Alligator mississippiensis: one gene and its partners. Each later gene encodes a partner of the first gene's protein in a complex. Links are inferred from orthologs where the notes say so. Each region holds a gene or a part of one and is shown on either strand. Other genes may lie near its edges.

Region 1 (8,027 bases):
TTAGGCTTGAGAAGGCATTACTGGGGCTTGTATTAATACTTTAAGCTAACAAAAAGTAGCATCTCATTGTGGCTTTTTTAAACAAGACTGAAATTCAATAGTATACACTACTGTCATTGCACCACACTCAGGGAATCCCTTTCCATTACCACATTACCCCTGCTACTGTGGGGCTTTTATAGCTACACTTCTATTCCCTCGCATCTGACACGGCTTCTTTTCTCATTTTGTTTAAAAAGGCTGCAAGCTCAAAGTGGGGAGAGGAACTGGAGATATAGCAGAAATTGTGCCAACTACAGCCTTTCTTTAACAAATGTCTTTGAGCAGAGATGAGTTCAATCAAAACTTGTCATAGGTTTTCATCCCAATCAAAGCATGTTTTTCCTTTGTCTTTATTAGTCATGAGGCCAGAGTATAGGCCTTTTTGGCTCTCTTGTTCTCTTCTAGTTTGGGAAAGAACCAAGGGCCTAATTTAAATTAGAATTGCTAAGCTGCATGCATTATCTGCTTTAGGGAAGGATAACCTTCCCCTAAATAAACCATATTAACAAACCTTAGTTCCAGGCTTGATGTAGAGAACAATGAGAGGGTGCAACACTTGTAAGATTGAGGCTTTTTCTATTTGCATTACTACTCTCAATTGCTTACTCCTGTGTGTCCTGTCAGATTTACACAAGCTAGTTCCTCAAACCCTTAAACTTGTTAGTCACTGCAGTGAGAAGGAAGAGACTTGTGCTTTATTAAAATAATAATAAAGCAAATTGTGTAATATGTAAGTAGCATTATTTTACAGCTAATGGAGCTGATGTGGAATGAGGTTAAATGGCTTCTACACGGTAACATGGCTCAACAGCAGGGCAGAGTTGTAAACAGGGTCTAGGTCTGATATACAGCCGATTCCATTTGCAGGTTGGTCTAGGTAGCATCCTCTCATATGTACTGGTACAGTAAGGATAGAGGGTGCCCCTTGTAGAAATCATTGCTGCTGTGAGGGTGGATGGGGGCATACACTTCTAAAGTGGTTTCCTCCTTTTCTCTGCCGTTGAGAGGATTATAAGGAGGTCATATTTCCTTCCCCTCCTCACATGAAGCCAGTTATGAGCTTATCAGGTAGGAAGGGACATGGGGTTTCCGGTCTCAACCTTTTTTCACCTGCCAGGCTCAGTAGGAAGAGAATCCACCCCTGCTAATAACTCCTCTAACTTCATTTCCCAAAGCCCAAGTGCCAAGTAAAGCTGGCAGGGTTGGATGGAGCCCTGCTCTACCAAACTGCAACAGAAATACCAAGAACAACAAAATACTTCTCATGCTCTCTATTTTATTTGAGAATGCATGGAGCAACTCTTGGTTTGCAGATACTGAGATAATGCACCGATGAGGCGGATCTTAAAAAACAAAAAAAAAAAAAAAAAAAACTTAGCTAGTGTTAATCCTCAGACAGTTCCCTGTTCATGTGACTTGAAGAAAAAAGAAAAAAAAAAAAAAAGAAGTGAAAACCAGGGAAAGAGCCTTATGCTTATCTAGTACTTTTTGGTGGAGGTTTTCAAAGTGCTTCAACAAAGCTGGGGACAGTGAATGAAGTCTGATAAATGACTTGGAAGGAGATTAAGTGACTAGCACAAAGTCACCCTGTGAGTCAGCAGCAGAGGGTGGTATTGAATGCAACTCTCCTGACTCCTCTTTGCCTTCTACCCCTTGCAGGATGAAGTGCACCAGCATTAAAAAGGAGCAGAAAGATGCAGACTCTTTGAGTGCCTTGTAACCCCTGGGTGTAGGAGCTGGCAGGGAGAAGAGGTACTTCCCAGTTGGGAAGCAACATTGACAGCGAGCCTTACCTTGAGCAAGCAAGCGCCACCCCCGTGAATGTAGGGCAAGGAAAGCTGCCTTATGTTCATGAGAGAACTAGCTCATTGCCAGCTCCCCCCAGGAAGGTGCCGTCTTAGGCAGGCAGATCCCTTCCCATCTGCTCCCTCCTGCACAAGCAGGCTGAAAACACAAGTCATCCAGCTGAGGAAAACAGAGAGGCATCCTTATAATTAACTACTGTCTACTCCAGGCAGCTGAGCTACATCCCAGTCCAATTTTAGACTGGCACTGTAGAAATTAGCAATGAAGAAAAAAAAAAAAAAAAGAGAAACCCACTCTTAGCTCATCTAATCCGTTCCCCTGCAACTACAAGGACTGTCTCAATATATAGGTTATGACAGTGCAAACCCAGCTTGATCATTTTATTCCCCAGCAAGCCAGAGAAATGCTTGGTCATTTTTTGGTTTACCTGGGAATAAAGCCTGGTGCATTTTTAGCAGGGGTGAACTGCTTTTTCAGGGCTGCCTTCTAGTAACCCCCTACATGGAGAGGGGAGCGGATCTACCTTACCTGCTGCTGACCTGAAATGGGAAAGCACCAGCACCACGCAAACCACCTGGAAGATGCTCGGGGGGAGAAAAGCCTGGGCCATCTGTAGCCAGCACCCGGGGGAGCTGCCGCTGCCTGCTCAGCTCTGGGAGCCAGACTTCATCTTCCACCTGGGCTCGCTCCGCTTTTACAGCCAGGAGCTGGGCGGCAGCAGCTCCCCCGCAGGCTCTTTGTGGGCATTGCATCGCCCTTTTTTTTTATATCCCCATCTACAACAAAATAGATCAGCAGTTCCCAATCTGTGGTATGGGCACCGCCAGCGGTACACGTCTGCAGATTGATTATAAGTACTTTATCTGACACACTTTTGCTGGTGGTACCGAAGGTTGAACTGAAAAATTTGCTGGTGGTACTTATGTATCGGTTTAAATTGGCGGTGTGCACTCTGTTTGGGAACCACTGAAATAGGTGATTATATTCTCCTAAAAGTGTGTATGTGGGGAAATACCTCTTAGCAAAATAGATGGTTTTGATTTTAAGAACACAACGAATGACATAATCCCAAGAAGCAGAATTGAAGACCTTGCTCGTACAAGCACTGGATGCTTTAATGGGTAAATAAATGGGTTCTGTGTGGGACTGTTTACAGGCATGCTTGGACATATGTCTTTGTAGGGCAGGGAGTTTTTGATCTTGGGCTTTGATACGAACTGCATCCCACCCGGTTTTCAGAAGAAGGGAAGCTGGGGACATTGCCTTACTGGCGAATTAAAACATTTTATTGTGAAGTGGCACAGAAACAGGTGGCTTGATCACAAAATGGCCAGTTTAGTGCCTGGCTGATTGTGTAGCTTATTAGCTTCAACTGTGCTGGAGTCACTTTGTCATATCTATATTTCTGAAGCCAACTACTCCCAGCAGCTACCCTTCATCTGGGCTCTTGCATGGTGCTCATCCATCTAGTGTCTGGCTCTCAGTACTCAGCAGCGGCTGGATTTGACTGCTTAAACCAGCAGTGCTCAGTCTTTTAGCCCCAGGGGCTGGATGAGTGGCACAGGGCTGGTCAGTGGCTGTGGGGGCAGGGTTGGACACAGTTATAAGTGAAGTGGGTGTCCAGACAGAAAGGGGGCTTGAATATGGTAATTTTTGGATGATTAGGATCATTATCTCTGGGGAAGGGGGCTGGATACTAAAAGCTTGCTTGGGGCTGCTTGTGGGGTCAGGGCCTGGATCAAGCCCTGCATGTGGGGTCTAGTGTGGAGGGCCATATATGCAGCCCCGAGGGGTGGGGGAATGTGGCAGCAGCAACCCAGGTGGCTGGGGGCTCCCCCACTGCCTGACGGCACTGAGCCCTCTGGGCTTCTCCCAAGAGCCATGAGAAGGCAATCAGGACTCACAGTAGAGATGAGATCTTTTATGAGACCAACAAGCTTTTTGCAAACAAAAAAAAAAGAAAAAAGTCTTTAATTGCAAGCTTTCCAGCACAAACACCCTTCATCAGGCATCGGAGAAAAGATGGTAAATGCTCTCCTGGGTAGAAATGAAAGCTCCTGTTTCATAGGATTTTACAGAGGAGTCAATACAGGCAGCCTTTGACTTACAGCGTTTCGAGTTACAACGTTTTGCACTTACAACATGTATAAATTGCCACCGTTTCAACTTTACAACGCTTGACGCCAGGCCAGCAAGCAAGTTCTCTGCGTCGTCATCTCCCTGGAGATCATCTCTCCAAACTTCCTTGGACACTTTCTTTAAGAAAGACGAGGCCCCAGAAACACCTGCAGCCAGGACTCCTGAAAAGACTCCCGCCAAGCATCCAGCAGTCACCTCAAAGAAGTCCTATCAAATCAGTATGATTGCCACTTACAATATAAATACATTAAAGTAGCTATATGCCTCATCTGTAATTGATTGAGTACAACATTCTGGGGTATCTTTGGTGAAAATAGGGTATCAGGCCTTTGTTCAGGAACCAATGCCCCATTTATAACATTGTTTCCTATGGGAAAATCAGTTCCGAGTTACAACGTTTCAATTTAAGATGCGGTTTTCAGGGACGGATTGTGCGGTAAATCCGATGGAAAACCCCGCTGGGCCACCAGTTCATAGCGGGGGGGGGGGGGGGGAGGGAGGCTCTGAGCTCCCGCCAGGGTGCAGACGACCTGGAACTACTGACTCCTCTGTGAAGCGCTGTGAACCAGGGTCCGCGTCTGCCCAGGACGGACGGCTCGTACAGCACGGCCGTGTCACTCCACGAGGGCTTTGGCCCTCTCTTCTGCAGCGCCCGAGGAGGGAGGGGGCTCGTGCCCCACAAAGCTTGCAATTAAAGACTTGTTTTCTTGGTTGCAAAAATCCCCTCGGCCTCATGCAAGATCTCCCGTCTCCCACCAGTGCTGGTGGCCGGGCGCTCCGCATCACCGCGGCTACCACCGCGCTGCGATCCGCAGCACGGCCGCCAAGCCCGGGGCGGGGCGGGGCCTGTGCGGGGGCGGGGCCTGCGCGGCGAGGCGGAGGCGGGGCCGGGGGCGGGGCTCGCGGGCTGCGGCGCGGCCCGGGGATGCTCGGGGCGGCGGCGGCGCCGGAACTGCACGGGGGGCCGCTTCCGCCGCGGGGAGGGGGCGGGGAGGCGCTCATGCGCCGCAGCCCGGCCGGGGAGCAACAAAGGAGCGGGCCGGGGCCGCGGAGGCCGGGCCGGGAGCGGCCCGCGGGGTGAGGTGAGGTGAGGTGAGGGCAGGGCCCGGGCCGCGAGGGGGTTGGAGACGGTTGGGATCGGAGCCGTGCGCCGCCAGGCCCGGCCCGTGCTGCGCTGCGCTGCGCTGTAGGGAGCTGGGGAAAGCGCAGGCCTCGCCCGGGTGTGGGCGGGTCAGCCGGGCCGAGTGACCCGCATTAAATGAACGGGGCCTTTCCCAGAAGGGTGCCGGGGCGGGGATGCGGGTCCCGGCGGCAGGGGCCGGGCCGGGCCGCAGCGGGGGTGGAAGCCCTGTCCGGTCTCCGCAGATGGTTGATTTAAAAAAAAAATTTTTTTTTTGTTTTTTGAGCTGGTTTTCGTTGGCGCGAGTCCTCGCCGCACCCCCCGCCGGCCCCGAGAGACACCATGGCGTTCGTGTCGACGCAAGGGCCCACGGTGGTCGACCAAACCACCCTGATGAAAAAATACCTGCAGTTTGTGGCCGCTCTCACGGACGTTAACACGCGTAAGCTCGTCTGCCGTTTGTTCGGGGAACGGGACCGTTCGCCGGCTCGCGTCGTGGCTTCTTAAACTGGCGGGGGAACACCACGTACCTGTGTCCTGCCCTGCCTCGCAGGAGAGCCGCTCGTCTGGCGTGGTTCGGCGCCCGCCAAGGTGCAGCAGCTTTAAGCCCAGGTCCTGGAGTCTTCTCCCTGGCTTGCTCTGAGGACCTGATGGCTGAGGGCAAGCAAAACTCGGGGGCATCCGAACCCCGAGCCTCCGGGCTTGGTCCTGCACGTAGGATGCCCGCCAAAGGTTTTGGAAACATCTGAAGCCCCAGGTGCGGGTGGAGGATGTTTGCTGGTAGTAGGGGTGCACTTGGTAGCCGTGTTGGTCTGACACAAGAAGATATAAAAAAACTCCCAAAAGCTTGCAGAAAAGGACAGTTTTCTTGCGATTTTTCCAGTTGGTCTAATAAACGATGTAATTTTGGAACCAAGAGTTCTAGTTTTTTGTATGCCGGTACTAGGGCCGCTTACGGTTCTGGACTCCTGGATTTGGAATTAGTTTGGGCTAATTTGGCCTTGGATGCAAATTGTATATAAGTGTCCCATGGGAAGGTGATCGTATTGATCGAGTTGGTAAAATCGCTTGGAGTTCATTTGCGGCGTCTTTGAGCCTGGCTTTTTTTAAGAAGCAAAATGATGAACATAAGTCGCTTGAGCCCTGGAGAGAAGTGTGCGTGCATGTATGTGTGTGTGTGTGTGTGTGAAGTGGTGGGACTGAGTGTGGCGATTGTGAGAAATGCGTACCTTTCAATTGGGCAATGAGAGCCGAACTGATAAGATCTGATTGCTTCTTCCCATTGTGAATTTGGTGTTTGTTTGAGAGTATTTTTTTTCCAAATATTTGATTGATTTCACTTGAAATTTTTTTCAGCTGATGAAACCAAACTGAAAATGATGCAAGAAGTCAGTGAGAATTTTGAGGTAATTAAACAAAATCACTGTTTGAGCGATTTTTTTATTTATTTATTTACTTTATTTTAAATGCACTGTTTCTTGTGGTTGTGTGCATCATGTTGCTTTCTGGTGTTCTTTCATTTAGGAAATTAGTTTGTATTTGCACATAGTAGCCATTCATAGTGGGTTCCATGTGTAAGAGAACCTCATTTTATTTCTTACAGTGCACTACCAACAACTTACTAAAATAATTATTCAGCTTATTGTTTCCCTCTTCTTTTGTATGTAAAGAATCATTTTATTCTAACATTTCTTAAGTTTATTTTTATGAAGAAGTGACACATAGTGAATATTTATTTCTCTGCACTTTAAACAAAAGTCTACAATGTTTTCTTTAACTGAATTCATGGTCAGTTGGTAGTGGACTGTATAGCTTGCTTTGCATTTGCTTTGGGAAGTGTCATGGTTAGGAAAGGTGAGTTTGTCTAGTATGGCTTTCTTTTTTGGAGGCTCTAATGAAATAGAGGTGGTGGCACAAACTACTTTCAGTTCTTAGTGCTTTAAAGAAGGAGGAGATAATATGTCCGCGTGGGATGCAGAAGAAGAAACAAAGGCATATTAATAGAAGTTATAGTTGCATTATATTGTGCGGACACTATACATAATGCAGTATTTGAAACTGTGCAGTACTGGTTGCCTATTTACGACATAGCATTATTTACAAAGGGAATTGCACTGAATCAGGGTGGCGCTGGTGCAGTGGACAGCACGTTGGGCTTCTACAGTAAAAAGGTCATTCATAGGCTGTGGGTTCAAGTCCTACCAGAGTTGGAATGTTTGCTCCTTTTACAGTGGACAATAAGCTGAATATGAGCCACCAGTGTGCCCTTGTTGCCAAGAAGGCTAATGGCATCCTGGGCTGCATTGGTAGGTGTGTTGCCAGCAGGTCAAGGGAAGTGATTATTCCTCTCTATTCAGCACTGCTGAGGCCACATCTGGAGTGTATTGTGTCCAGTTTTGGGGCCTCCCCACTACAGAAAGGAAGTGGACAAATTGGAGAGAGTCCAGTGGAGGGCATCAAAAATAGTTAGGGGGCTGGGGCACTTGATTTGTGAGGAGAGGTTGAGGGACCTGGGTTTATTTAGTCTGGAGAAGAGAAGACTCAGAGGGGATTTAATAGCAGCTTTTAACTATCTGAAGAGTGGTTCCAAAGAGGTTGGAGCGGGACTGTTCTCAGTGGTGGCAGATGACACACCAAGGAGCAATGGCCTGAAGTTGCAACAAGGGAAGTTTAGGTTCTATATTGGGAAGAACTTTCTCGCTGGGAGGGTAGTAAAACATTGGAACAGGTTACCCAGAGAGGTGGTGGACTCTCCATTCCTGGAGGCTTTTTAAGACCCGGCTAGATCATCCCAGCGAGGGCTTTGCCTAGTTGGGGCTGGTCCTACTTTGATCAAGGGGTTGGACTAAATGACCTCCTGAGGTCCCTTCCAGCCCTCACTTTCTCTGATTCTATACATCTGAGATGTCTGGTTAAAAGT
Region 2 (7,195 bases), on another chromosome or scaffold:
TTGTACGCCTCACGGATGATTTTGAAGGCCCGGATGTTGGAGTAGGGGATGTCAGTGACAGGGTCGCGATACACGGCCGGCTTGTGGGTCACAGGGCAGATCTCGCGCACAGGCAGCCGGGGCTGGCGCCCCTTGGGGAAGAGCTGCTCGAAGGTCTCATCGTCGCTGAAGGTGATGAAGGTGCGTGAGCACTTCCCAGTGATGGGGGCCACAGCTGGTGCCAGCGCTGCCTCTGAGGGCTGGTGGAGATCTTGATCCAACCTGGGCATGGGGGAATTACCACTGGGGTGAGTCTGGGCTTCAGCTCCAGGAGACACAGGCATCCAGGGAGAGAGGGAGCAGGGCTACCTGCGCTCATGGCAGCCACCTACATGATCCCCAGGGCCTCTGCTTGGGTCAGTCCATCCCCATCCCCAACCCCGCCCTTCAGAGCCTGGGGTCTAATCCAGGTTGGTACAAGCTAAGGATCTGACCAGGCCCCAAACACCACCCTGGCAGACCTATGTGAATCCATACACACACAGCTCTGGTCCACAGACCATCCCAGCTCAGAGCAGCTGCAAGCCAGAATGTCAGGGCATTGCAGCTGAGTTGCTGGCAGCTGCGAGATGCCATGGCCAGGACTGGGGGCAGTGCCCAAGGACAGAGGTTGGTATGCGGGAGCCGAGCTCCAGGATCTACAAAGGGAAGGGGCACAAGGATTTTATGGAGAAGGGCTGGACTGGGCCCAAGGGTCCCCCTGCGCCCTAAACACCTACCCCTCCACATCCACGTTCTCCTCCTTGACGCCCAGGTCGGTGATAAGGGGCATGGTCACCGAGTGGTACCGGATCAATGGCCCCACGCACTTGCGCTTCTTCTGCACCTGCTTCTTCTTGTCGGCTTCCAGGCGCTCGTAGTTCTCTGCAGGGATGAAGAAACCGGATGTCAGCACAGCGGGCCTGGGGGGGACCTCACTTCAGCGCCTAGGGTGCCAGGCCCCATCTCCTGCAGGTACTTGCCCACCACTGGGACACAACTCAAGGTGACATGTCACAGCAGGCGGGTCAGTGCCCCCCACCCAGGGGGGAGACAGGGGTCTCCCCTAGCAGGCAGCCTTTGCAGAGCCAGCCACAATCATCATCTAGTTCCCAACCATGCACCGGTGAGAAGAGACAGTGCCCATTCACATCACCCGCAGACTTCCAATTAACACTGGGGGGAAACTGAGGGTCAGCGGTGAAACGAATCACCCAGCCAGGTAGCACCTGAGCTGGACAAAGAACCCAGGAGTCCTAGCCACCGCTAACCACCACATCCTGCTCTCCTCTGGGTAGGGAACCCAGGCTGGCAGCTTCTAATGCCTCTGTCTTCTGGGGTCCTTTGCTGCCCGTGAGCCCCACCAGCCCTATCCCTCCATGACCATAGCCCCAGGCCCATCCCAGCACCCTCACTGTACCCCATGGGGTGATGGCCATGGTCCCACCAGCCCTATCCCTCCATGACCATAGCCCCAGGTCCATCCCAGCACCCTCCTTGTACCCTATGGGGTGATGGCCATGGTCCTACTCACCTAGGGAGCGCAGGTTGATCTCCTCTGTGATCTTGGCCTCCTCCAGCAGCTCCTCCTGTGTCAGGGGACGGTCATAGTTGGGGCCGCCCTTCTTGCGCTTGGACTGCACCTGACGCTCCTGAAGGCGCAAGAATGTCTGGCGGGTGTGCTCTGTGGTCGACTGGCGCATGTGCTTGCGGCCTGGTGGGGACAACAAGGTGGGGGGGGGGGTCAGGGGGCACGGGGGACACAGAGCAGGGAGGCAGCCCCAGGCTCCCAGAGACAGAGGAGCCAGGGGAGCTCTGCTAGCGAGTGCCATGCATGCACTTACTGTCCCCAGCGTCATCCTGCAGCTCCAGGGGTGCCACCTTCTCCTCTCGGGCCTTCTGTGAGCTGCCGCTGGGGGCATCGGCCTTCTTGGGTCTCAGGCTCTTGAGGGGCTCCTGGGGGAGTCACAGCAGAGCAGGGTGAGGAAGGGGAGAGCTGCCGGGGGGATGCTACCTTCCTCACCTGTTACCCCTCATGGGTCAGTTCTTACCACCAGGCACCTCCTCCTCCCAGGGAGGCAACCCAGGAGGCCAGACCCCAACTCTGCTGCTGAGTCCAGACCCCAAGCCTCCCCAACGATCCCCTTCCCGCTGTAGCGGGCCTTACCCCCTTCCCAGCCGCCCCTCCCTCAAACATCCAGGTGACCCTAGTGCATCTGTAGCCCCCTTTGACGGGAAGCCCCGTGGCGCACAGGATGCCTGGGTCTTTGTCCCAGACATCCAGCCCCTTGCGCCGTGGAGCGGGCGCCTCCCCTCCCCCAAACCCCCACGGGAAGCAGAGCCCCGGCCACACCTTGTAGGCCTTGGTAACCACGCGGCGCTTGCGCTTGGGCTCGCCGTCCTCCTGGTCGCTGGCCGGCTCCTCGCCCTCGTCGATGTCGAAGTCCGAGTCCACCTCATCGTCGCTGTCCGACTGGTCGCCTTTGTACTCGTCGTCCCCCGACTCCTGCGGCACCGCCCGGACACTGCCGTCAGCCCCGGCCCCCCCACCGGATCGGCCCCTTCCCCAACCCTCCCAAAGGGCCTCGTGCCCCAGCCACAAAGGACCCCCCACAGACCCGCCCCTCTTCCAGCCCTTCCCAAGTGCCCCCCAAAACCTCTCCCCCACTCTCCTATGCCCCAACCCCCCATAGTGCCCACCCCAGATGCCTCCCACCCTAGTGGGCCCTGCCCCCCAATTACCCCCACCAGTAGGCCCCGCCCCCAGTAGCACTCCACCCTAGCAAATGACCCCATAGGCCCCGCCCTGGCAAACTCCGCCCTCCCCGGGGTCCCTCCCGCGTGCGGGCGCACCTCGGTGAAGCCGCCGTACGTGGTCTGGTAGAACTCGTCCTCCTCGGCCTCCAGCAACCCCGAGAGCCGGTTGCCCGCGGTGCGGCGCGGCGCCCTCCCCTCCGCCAGGCTCATGGCGCCGAGCGACGCGCCGACCCGCCACTGCGCGGCCTGGGATCGACCCGCCGGCCAGCCACTGCGCGGCCTGGGAGCGCCGAGAGTGGTGCGGGAGGCGAGCGCCGGGAACCAATCGAACGCTGAGTGATCGCTGGCGGCTGCGCAGGAGGGTGGAGCCTCGCTTGCCCCGAGCTGCCTCCTCGCAGTGGCCCCGCCCCTACTCTAACCCACCACTGTGGTCTCCCATCCAGGTGTTGACCCTTCTGGGCCCTGCTTGGCTTCTAAGATGCTGCGGGCGCCCCAAGCCTAAGCTGGGCGCCCGGGGGGTCGCGCATGCTGCTCCCCCGGCAGCTGCCCCAGGAGATCTGCATGTCTGCACCCAGGGGCGGGCCCTGCCACCCTGCAGGGAAAGATGCCCACGTGTTGGGGCCCCTTTAGCCTTTCAGCCACGGTCTGAGACCGAGGTAAAAGGGGTGCGGATGCTGTGGTTCATTTTCCCAAAGGACACATCACACGTTTTTCTCCCGGTGAAAAGAAACTGGAAGTTTTCATAGATGTTAGGGTCGGAAGGGACCTCAATAGATCATCGAGTCCGACCCCCTGCATAGGCAGGAAAGAGTGCTGGGTCTAGATGACCCCAGCTAGATGCCTATCTAACCTCCTCTTGAAGACCCCCAGGGTAGGGGAGAGCACCACCTCCCTTGGGAGCCCGTTCCAGACCTTGGCCACTCGAACTGTGAAGAAGTTCTTCCTAATGTCCAGTCTAAATCTGCTCTCTGCTAGCTTGTGGCCATTATTTCTTGTAACCCCCGGGGGTGCCTTGGTGAATAAAAAGTCACCAATTCCCTTCTGTGCCCCCGTGATGAACTTATAGGCAGCCACAAGGTCACCTCTCAACCTTTTCTTGCGGAGGCTGAAGAGGTCCAGGTGCCACAGTCTCTCCTCATAGGGCTTGGTCTGCAGGCCCTTAACCATACGAGTGGCCCTTCTCTGGACCCTCTCCAGGTTATCCACATCCCTCTTGAATTGCGGCGCCCAGAATTGCATGCAGTACTCCAACTGCGGTCTGACCAGCGCCCGATAGAGGGGAAGTATCACCTCCTTGGATCTGTTCATCATGCATCTGCTGATGCACGATAAAGTGCCATTGGCTTTTCTGATGGCTTCGTCACACTGCCGACTCATGTTCATCTTGGAGTCCACTAGGACTCCAAGATCCCTTTCCACCTCTGTGCCACCCAGCAGGTCATTCCCTAGGCTGTAGGTGTGCTGGACATTTTTCCTCCCTAGGTGCAGCACTTTGCATTTCTCCTTGTTGAACTGCATCCTGTTGTTTTCTGCCCACTTGTGCAACCTATCCAGGTCTGCCTGCAGCTGTTCCCTGCCCTCCGGCGTGTCTACTTCTCCCCACAGTTTTGTGTCATCCGCAAACTTGGACAGAGTACACTTCACTCCCTCATCCAAGTCACTGATGAAGACATTGAAGAGTATCGGTCCAAGGACCGAGCCCTGCGGGACCCCACTGCCCATGTCCTTCTAGGTCGATACCGACCCATCCACCACAACTCTCTGGGTGCGACCCTCTAGCCAATTCGCCACCCACCGGACTGTGTAGTCATCCAAGTCACAGCCTCTTAACTTGTTCACCAGTATGGGGTGGGATACCATATCGAAGGCCTTCCTGAAGTCTGTATATGACGTCAACCCCTACTCTTGCGTCCTTTTCCTACTAGGCCATGGGCCTGGGGCTGTAGTCTTCACTTGAAGATTTGTTTTTGCATCCATCTAACTTTATTGGAATGAGTTCAAGGCAGTCAGCAGGGCTGTAAAATAGGAGCTCCGTGCCCAGGAGCGTTGCAGAGCGGGTCCTGGCTGGACTGGGGGAACACTGAGGCCATTACATAGGAGAGAGGGTCGTTAACAGCTGCGGAGTGAAGAGTTCAGAAGGAAGCAGGTAGACGAAAGTGAGCCATTAAGTCCACTGATCTGTCAGCGCTGCCTGACTAGAAACACTGCTGCCACTGCAGGCTTTAAACTTTGGGTGGAGCAGGAATCAGAGAGGTGCGCATGCATCAGTGCATCCCCCTGGATCCACCCCTACTGGGGCCTCTGCCCCCACAAGGTTCATGGCCTGGGGGGGTCCATCCACAGGTGAGGGCAAGAGCTGGGACTCTGCCAAGGCCAAGGGATAGCGTGCGTGCATCTCAGCTTACCAGCAGCAGCTGGCAGCCAGCTTGATTAGTCTGATCACAGCAGGGACCTGATAACCTCTGGTCTCAACTCCTGATCCAGGGCTCATTAGATTCCCTTTTATGCTGTTGACTTTAGCTTTCCTGCCATACCTCCTGGCTAATGGCTGGCACAGAAACAGCAGCTCTTTAAACTCTGCTCCATGGATCTATCGCACCTTTTCCCTTTTGTTTTATCGCTGCTAACAATGGTTGCAGTGAAACGGGATCTCCCTGAAGAATTCTGCTGTGAAGCCTTAACTCCCAACATCTCAATGCCCCACACAAACCTGCTGGAAATGTCTTGGGGAACTCAGCCTGGGGTCCCAGAACAAATCAAATGTTTGCTTTAACAAATCGGAGGATTGGACCAAATTAAATCTCATGAGGTTCAACAAGGACAAGTTCAAAGTCCTGCTCTTAGGGTGGAACAAGCCCATGCACCAGTATAGGCTGGGAGTGGCTGGCTGGGCACCAGCTCTGCAGAAAAGGACCTGGGGGTGACAGTGGGCAATAAGTTGAATATGAACCAGCAGTGTGCCCTTGTCACCAAGAAGGCTAACAGGATCCTGGGCTGCATGATCAAGAGCGTTCGTTGTAGCAGATAGAGGGAAATGAAGAGTGTTTGTACTCGAAAGCTTGCAAATAAGATTTTTTCCAACAATTTTGGCTGGTCTAATAAAAGATATCAGATTTACCCAAAGAACCTTGTCTTCCTAGTCCCCTCTGTTTGGCACTGGTGAGGCCACATCTGGAGTCCAGTGGCCAGTTTTGGCCCCCTGCTACAGAAGGGATCTGGACAAGTTAGAGAGAGTCCAGCAGAGATCAACAAAAATGGTTGTGGCACATGATTTATGAGGAGAAACTGAAGGAACTGGACTTATTTAGTCTGCAGAAGAGAAGACAGAGTGGGGATTTACTAGCAGCCTTCATCTACCAGAGGATGCATCTGGGCTGTTCCCAATGGTGGCAGATGACAACAAGGAGCAATGGGCTCCAGTTGCAGAAAGGGAGGTGTAGGTTGGATATTAGTAAAAACTTTCTCATGAGGAGGGTAGTAAAGCACTGGAACAGGTTACCCAGAGACGTGGTAGGATCTCTATCCTTGGAGGTGTTTTAAGACCCAGCTCAACAAAGCCTTGGCTGGGATGATGTAGTTGGGGCTGGTCCTGCTTTGAGCAGGGGGTGGGACTAGATGTGACCTCCTGAGGTCCTTTCCAACCCTCATTTTCTGATTCTATGAATTCTCACCCCAAACTCTGAGTTTCACTTGGAATCAGAACCAAAGATCAGCCTCTGGTTTGTTCAGATCTGTTTTTAGCAAATTTGCAAAAGCTGATTGACAGGTTCCCTGCGATTTCAGGTTTCATAGTGCATGCTTCGAGGGGTGTTGAAACCCATGTTCCTTTTATCACGAAAAATCCACCGCAGCCTGTTGTGATCGGACTTGAGTGGGGCAACCTCATGTGAAGAACAGCACCCAGGGACAGTTGTATCTGGCTTCAGAAACAAGGATCTGCAGGCCAAGTTCAGCCATGGTGTAAGCAGGCACAATCTCATGGAAGTTCAGGGCCATGACACCCACTGAATTTCGTCCGAAAAGAGACATAAGGTAAATCTCAACTTTCAACAGCATAGTCTCTCCTGAGAGAACTTTGCAGCAGTTCCCACGGGGCTTGGATTTGTCTCCGTGTGTTCATGGCACACGTCTGTGCCTAATTAGGTGATCTCAGATGAGGTTTGCAATACACCCAGAAGCACCTCACAAGACTACTGAGGAGATGCATGATTAACCACTTACCAGGTTGCTAAGCTATTTGCTGTGAACACAGCTCCTTTTGCTTAGGTGCTTTTGAACTCAACAGGTGCTTTCACACCCCAGGAATCTCCAGAGCATTTTGCCATCAGGTCATTTGAAAGGTTTGATAGATACAACAAATGTCTGCATTAACTTAGGGTCATAAAAAAGCAGGGTTGGTAGGGCCCTCCAGAGGTTGCAT
Region 3 (7,146 bases), on another chromosome or scaffold:
CCTACCTGACACCCATAAACCGTCCTTTCCTTCTTTTAAAGGGCTTTTCTAGTCTGCTCCCACCAAATACACTTTCTACAGCCTGAGATCAAACTGCTGTAACTATAAAATACTCTTGGGCACGCTGGTTTTATTAACCATGGAAAGACAGACTCCAAGTGTCCAAGTACAGAAGTAACTTCAAAACTGAACAAGTGACATTTTCCTACATGGTTATGTTCACATGTATTCCAGAAAGCCCTTAAATACAAAGGTATTTACATTTCTAGTGGCAGCAACTTTTTCTTATATTCACAAAACTGTACGTTTGGGCTCACAACTTCTGTCTTCACCAAAATGTTGTCTCTCTCCTTTAAACTAAACACTCCTCCCTAATAGTACTGATTAACACACTTCACTGTCTCCTTTTAGGACCCAGCACTGACTGCAACTGTCAGATCTCTACTCGGCTACTGTTTTCCTCCCTCAGGCAACTTCTTATTTATATTCCCTTCTTACTCGCCACTGTATTGCTGTGCACGAAAACTACTGCTATGTTCCAATGCATTGGTGAAACAATACCTACGCAAATTTGAAACTGGGCCCTTGGAATGAAAAGAAAATACACAAATCCTCTCTTTCAAGGAGTAATGCCAGGATTAATGCTAAGGAAATCAAGGTTGCTTACTCCAAAAGCACAAGTAAAATTTCACTGCAACATGCTGAGTATTTAGGTGTTGTCGGGGGGGGGGGGGGGGGGGGGGGGGGAAGGAGGCATTTTTAATACTGCTATTAGATCAATTCTTGTTATTGAAATTAGCAGCAAGATTTATGATTAGCAAAATCTGTTTGTATAGGAAAAAACCTTACTGTTCCTGAAGTCTTATTTGAAGTTTTTCTTTGGTAAGACTCTTCTCGGCATCACTCTTCATCATGTCTTTCCGATACCGATGGGTCATATCAATCCTAGACAACAGAGCCATATTTAGGATGTGAATAAAAAATTGCAAGTTTAATGACTTTGTTCTCAGTATACCTCCAAGAAATAGGCAGTTAAAAAGGAACCTAATCAAAGTCCCACCTCTCCTGCCCCCTTTTTGGTCGCTACGTACTGAACTTACTTTTCTTTAATTTCATCGTCATCGTCCACCCAGGCTGGTTTCTTAGATAGAGGAAAATTGTCTTGTGCTTCATCTTCTGAATCACTGGAGTCCCCTTTCAGAAGATTTCCACTGATTACCCCATCAAGCTTAAAAACAAACAAACACACATAAGTCTAAGGGTACAGGCACCTGTATACCTGGAGTCATTTTAAGAGGTGAACACTTCGAAAGGCAAGAGCTGTTACCTCCTAATTGTTATTCAGGAACAAGTCAGCAACAATAGAAATGTAGCAAGACCACTCCCACTTCAGTGCTGCTTTATTAAGCAGCAGCAGGGGTTGAAACAGTGTTAAAGTTGGAGCAGTTGTGTTACAATTGTACCAGTTTGTCCTTCACAGATAACAATTATAAAGTAATAATTGCTGTCCTTTTGAAGCACTCCCTTTTGAAATAGCTCCAAGTGTACCTGTAGACATATCCTAAAATAACAAATTTAACAACTGTAAACTGAGAAGACACTTTTCAGGAAAGCAAGTGTAAACAATCACCATCTCCTGTAAAGACAAACACATAGAAAAAACAAATGTTAGTCCTATGGCAATTCATCGCTAAACCATTTCCTCAGAAGGGGAAGTTTAGAAGACAGACTCATGAGAGGTAAAGCAGGCTAGTAAAAAAGGCTGCCTACAAAGCAGTTGTAGCAGGTGTCAAACTCATCCATCACTGTAGACTGAACGAGTGGTGCAGAGCCAGTCCACAGACCGAATCAGGCCTGCAAATCCCCTCCCTTCCCCTGGCATTCTGGGTTCAAAACCCACTCCAGCCACTGTGGGATCCACGCTGTGTGCACACAGATCGCAGAGCAGCCAGAACAGGCACTGTGTGCAGCACACTATAACAGGGGGTGCACAGCACAGACTTCAGACCGGCCAGTACCCTCCCTGGCCAGGCTGCACCACATGTGGCACCCCCACTGAGAACTGTGCTACACATGGTGCCACTCCTGGTCTGGGACCCACACTGCACACGGTGCTTGCAGGCACTGCATGTAGTGCAGGTGCCAAACTGGCTAGAGTGGGTGCTGTGTGCAGAGTTGTCGGGCCACGGCAGGCACCGCATGTAGTATAGTACCTGCTCTGGCTAGTCTGGGATCTACATGCCCCCAGCTGACAGCCACGAGGTGCCCATTCCAGTTACTCTGGGATCTGCACCACATGCGTCCGTCTCTGTGGCACAATTCTGGAGCAGCATCTGGAGCTGCAGGTTGGGCCCCCACACCTCTTCCCTCCCCTTCCACCACAACACACTTACCAGCTGCACACAGCTCTCCATGCTGTATTGGTATCAGCGGATACGCTTCCTTAAAAACTGGCTATCAGTATTGGCCCCAAAAACCTCTCTATTGGTGCAGCCCTAGGTTGGGGAGGCTGAGGGGGGGGGGCCGTGCAGTGCATGATCTACTCTTACGTAGAGATGAGATCAGCGTTTCTCAGCCCGTGGGTCATGACCCAAAAGTGGGTTGCAAGAACATATGAAAGGGTCTCAAACAAACTTTAAAAATGGATTCTCCTTTAACAGAGATAAACATGGGAAACCGTGGCTTTCCCCTTGCTGGATGGCAGAGTCCCAGCCTGCGAGGAGATGCTCAGGGCCCCTGCTGCCCCATACCCATGCAAAAAGGGGGGGGGGGGGTAGGGCCTGGGGGCAGCCTTTTGGGAGTGAAGGACACCGGGTCGGGACTAGCCATTGATGTTTACAAACGAGTCCTAGTACAAAAAAAAGTTGAGAACCACTGCTCAAAACCAGCTGTTCCCAATCTGCGGTACATGCACCACCGGCGGTACGCAGACAACCCATCAGCAGTACACATTAACAATTAATAACTACTTAAACACGACAAAAATGCATCAGATTGAAGTGAGTAAGTCACTGGTGGTAAAGGTGGTCTCATTTTAAATCAGCGGTGCGCAACCCGTCTGCTCTAGACGACGGGCGGATGGGACGGTTGGGTCGGGACGATCCTGCCTCACGCAGGGGCGGGACTCGGTGACCGCTGGAGGTCTCTTCCAGCTCCGCCTAGGACGGGGGCCACAATTAAGAAGCGAAGGCGGCCGGCAGCAAGTGTGTTTGAACAGCCAGGGCAGGAGGATGAACATCGCCAACGAAAGGGTGGAGAAAGAAAGGGGGGGACGAGGACGAGGGCAGCAGGATGGAGGCCGGACGCCACGTGGGACGCCTGGCAGACCCCTCCCGCGCCCGCTGCAAGGCCCAGGGCTGGGAGCCCCTCCCGTCTGCCGGCTCCCCCCGCATTTCCACCCGCTCCTCGAGGCGCCACGCGGGCGCGGGGGCACGCAGCGAGGCTCCTGCCCGGCCTCACCTGCTGGCTCGGGCCCCGCAGGCGCTGCAGCAGCTCCGCCTCGCCCGCCTCCTGGACGCCGCCGAACACCAGCGCCTCCAGGCAGCGCTCCACCGCCGCGCTCTCGCCCAGCGCGCCCGGCAGCCGCGCCCCCTCGCCGGCCTCCGCACCGCCCGCGAGCCGCTGCCTGTGCCGCCGGCGCCGCTTCGCGCCGGGCAGGATACCGGCGCCAGCTACCACCTGCTCCTCCATAGCCGCTCAGCGGAAGCGGAAGTGACACTACCCCTTCACGTGACAATCCCACCCCAATCACGTGACGCCTCGCTTCCTGCCCCATGTGACAGCTGGACCGGTCCATTCGCCCCCTTTGCGCGGGGGGGCTGTAGGCTGCGCTTGCCGCCTCCTCCTCCTCCTCCAGGAACTTTGTAGAGACGGAGCCGCCCCGCCGTGCCCCTCAGGAGCTCGGCAACAACCAGCAGGTGAAGCCGTGTGCCGCCGGGCAGCGCAGCCCGCGCGTTTCCCCCACCGCGGAATGGTGCGCGCCGGGCGAGTACGGCGAGCCGGGAGGGCCGCAAAGCCCCGGGGGGCGGGGCCGGGGCTCTCGCCGCGCCTGCGCACTGCGGGGATGCTAATGTTGTTGATAGTCTGGCCCGGGGAGTTGGGGTTTCTTTCTCTGTGGCCCGAGCGCGCGGCGGGACGTCGGGCCCGGCGGGGGGGCGCGCAGGCGGCGCGGGCCGAGCCGGGGGCAGGGCCGGGCGCGGCGGCGGCCGCCCGCTGCCCATGAGGGCCTGATGGAAAACACAAAGGACCTGGTGAGCGGCGCGGGCGGGGGGCGGCCGCCGGGAGGGGGCTGGGCCCGGGAAAGTTTCGCGGAGCGTCGGGCTCGCTCCCCCCTCGCCTCGTCCCCACAGCCCGGGGCGGCCGGGCCGCTTCCCGCGGCGGGGGAGCGCGTCCCAGCCCGGCCGGGGGGCAGCCAGCGTGTGGGGAGCGTGGACAACTCCGGTGCGCTGGGAAGAGAGGCTGCAGCCCCCTCGGTCTGCAAACCAGCCGCCTCCCCGCGCCAACCGCGCTCCCCAAAACGCTTCGTTATCTCGTGTCGGCAAGAGCGACTCAGGGGTCGCGTCGATGCGCGGCCTCCCGAACGGCCGTGCGTGTCTTCTGAACGCTTTTGCTGCGGCGCGTGGTGCGAGTCCGTGGGTTCGTTCGTACGTGCACATCCACAGGGCGGATACGTACGTACGTGCAGAGGGTTGAAGCGATGGCACGGGTGGGATAATTGGGCGCCAGGAGGGGACGTCCGGCGGGAAGGTTGGTCGGTCGGTCATGCCGGGGACAGGGAAGGCCTGGGGCTGCCGGGACGTCAGCGTTGAGAGAACGTGCGAATCCACGTGTGTTTGTACAAGCGCGTGCGATGGATACGTACGTACAAACACGTACGAGGGTTGAAATAGGATAACTGTCGGACGCTTGGCGACGCCGCTGGGGCCTGAGATGTGACCCCGCAGCCGCCGTCTGTAGGGAGGGGACGTCCCGCGGGAAGGGGGTTTGTCGTGTCGGGAGCAGGAAAGCGGCTGGGGCTGACGGGACGTCGGAGCGAAGAGGAGCCGCTCGGGAGAGAACCAGAGGGACGGGAGGTCGTGAAGGGGAGTACAGCTGTCGCTCTGCAATGCCAGCCTGGGAGCTTCGTGCTCTGCTGTTATTTTAGTCTCTGGTTTTCACACCGTGGCTACGTGGGAGAAAACCCAACATCATCTAGGTCCTGGTACTGAAACGCTCCAGCCTTGTGCAGTGGGACACGACTAGGACCTGGAAAACAGGATTTGTACTTCCTCGGACGTAACTGCTGGGGAGGTGGAGAAGTTGGAGGTGTCCCCTTCCTTGCCTTCCCTGGTTTTTGACTCCCTGAAAATTGACTCCAGTCCTGCAGGGTGCCCACCCAGTGCCCTGAACATGGTAGGGTGGTGCTGCTGGAGTGGTGATGGTCACCACACTATGTTGGAGGTGAGGGTCTAGTGCAGCGGTTCTGAACCGGGGATACACGTACCCCCCCGGGGGTACGTGAAGCCTCATTCGGAGGTACGTGAGATATATTTCATACACTGTCTAACAGAGGTCGAAGGGCCTAAAAAAATTAATTTCCCATTGAAAGGGGGTACATGAAGTCTCACTCTGACACCAAAGGCTATGTCAACTGAAAAAGGTTGAGAACCACTGATCTAGTGGGTGATATCTTTTATTGCAGTGTGCAGCTGGTTCAATAAAAGACATTGCCCCCGAGCATCCTTGCCTTTGAACTTCCTGCTGGCTTTCTGCTTTTAAGCTGGTTATTTTTTTGCCTGCTGATGCTGAACTGTATTTTGAAACGAAGCTGTTGCTTTCTCCTACGTTTCCTGCTTTTCCTAGTATTCTGCTTTCTTTGCCCAAGGACTTTAGGGGACAACACAGTTTAAGTGTTAGGATAATTCCCCACTTATGTATGATTTCTTTTTATCTTGACACTTCTGTTTGCTCTGTAGGATTTGTTTTTCTTGTTGTTGTGTTTCTGGCATCAATTTGAAATCTAATTAGTTTTTAAAAAGCAATTGCAATTTTCTAGTGGTACTCCAGTCCTAACTTTTTAAAGAACACCTCTAATATGTGAGGATTGCTTCCACCCTCAGAAGGCCCCTGTCAGCTAGGTGAGACTGACAATAGACAAAGCGCTGTTAAGTGCACAAACTGAAGGGCAAAACTGTGTAATGATTTTTGCAGATGAAACTTTTAATTGTTGCAATAATTGGCAACACACTCTTGGTTAGAAATGAGTCCTCCCAAGAGGAGAAGTAAAAAGTGGGAATCGGAAGAGATGTTTTTATAAATCTCCTCATATGTTGCCTTTAAGTTGCTGCTGAGTTGCTTGCATTTCTGATAGTTGTAACGTTCTGACAAGGTTTTAGCTTCACAGAACCAGAGAGGGCAGACATACAATAAATCTGCACATTTCCAATGGTTCTAGTTGATTTTGGTTAGCTTTTGTGTGAAAGAGATGTAATAATAAAAAAATCACTTCAGTTGCTGGTGCTTACAGTTTACTCCCATCTAGAGTTAGGACTGAGCTTACCATGTATATTTATAAGTCTTTTCTAACCAAAAAAAAAAGAAGTATGGATGTCAAATTTCTTATAAAACTTAAAGAAAAATATTGTACAGTGATAAAATGTCTGATGAATTGAGTCTGTTTGCGGTTAATAGCTTGTAGGTCCTGCGGAGGTGCATTACCTCCTGTATTCATGCAGGTAGTACTAGGTGCTAGTAGTAGCCTCTGATGTGATGCAACTGTCCTAGAGGTTACACCTCTCCCCTCTAATGCAGACCTCGATGTATTGATCCGTGCCTCAGCTGCCTATAATATAGTTACATATTTTGGGGTTAAGTTTCAATATAAGCTGAGGTCTGTGTGGTGCAGCTGCAAATCTTTGTGAGATGAGCCTTTAGTAATCTTTATGAAAGCACTGTAGTGGTTCCTTTCTCGTATCTGGAAGCTGTTCAAGATTTGGCGAGTGTAGTTAATATTTTGAATAGACTTGGATCTGGATATTTGAAACCTTCCTCTATGCCTCCAAATCCATGCTGTCACAGCAGTTAACAGCTGCCAGAGTGCTCGTCCTAGAAAGCACGGGGAAGAGCTATCTAGGTTGAAGGGCAGGATGTTTTCTGTTGCAGGTTTTT

The links.
Region 2: TRRAP (region 1) and VPS72 share a complex: the UniProt entries of both Homo sapiens proteins name them as parts of the nuA4 histone acetyltransferase complex. The link is inferred for Alligator mississippiensis from reciprocal best matches to the Homo sapiens genes TRRAP and VPS72.
Region 3: TRRAP (region 1) and MBTD1 share a complex: the UniProt entries of both Homo sapiens proteins name them as parts of the nuA4 histone acetyltransferase complex. The link is inferred for Alligator mississippiensis from reciprocal best matches to the Homo sapiens genes TRRAP and MBTD1.

The regions. Positions count from the first base shown.
Region 1 is NC_081836.1:47,844,278-47,852,304, forward strand, and holds the start of TRRAP (transformation/transcription domain-associated protein), read left to right. Parts: upstream 1-4,966; 5' UTR 4,967-5,069; exon of another isoform or gene 5,070-5,074; intron 5,075-5,393; 5' UTR 5,394-5,449; coding exon 5,450-5,549; intron 5,550-6,463; coding exon 6,464-6,513; intron 6,514-8,027. Other genes in the region: TMEM130 (transmembrane protein 130), read right to left, coding at 2,388-2,600. UniProt on the Homo sapiens protein: Adapter protein, which is found in various multiprotein chromatin complexes with histone acetyltransferase activity (HAT), which gives a specific tag for epigenetic transcription activation.
Region 2 is NC_081838.1:20,096,391-20,103,585, reverse strand, and holds the start of VPS72 (vacuolar protein sorting-associated protein 72 homolog), read right to left. Parts: upstream 3,062-7,195; 5' UTR 2,986-3,061; coding exon 2,872-2,985; intron 2,525-2,871; coding exon 2,372-2,524; intron 1,975-2,371; coding exon 1,863-1,974; intron 1,733-1,862; coding exon 1,553-1,732; intron 904-1,552; coding exon 759-903; intron 262-758; coding exon 1-261. UniProt on the Homo sapiens protein: Deposition-and-exchange histone chaperone specific for H2AZ1, specifically chaperones H2AZ1 and deposits it into nucleosomes.
Region 3 is NC_081831.1:10,354,171-10,361,316, forward strand, and holds the start of MBTD1 (MBT domain-containing protein 1), read left to right. Parts: upstream 1-4,085; 5' UTR 4,086-4,229; coding exon 4,230-4,250; intron 4,251-7,146. Other genes in the region: UTP18 (U3 small nucleolar RNA-associated protein 18 homolog), read right to left, coding at 850-945, 1,101-1,228, 3,460-3,690. UniProt on the Homo sapiens protein: Chromatin reader component of the NuA4 histone acetyltransferase complex, a multiprotein complex involved in transcriptional activation of select genes principally by acetylation of nucleosomal histones H4 and H2A.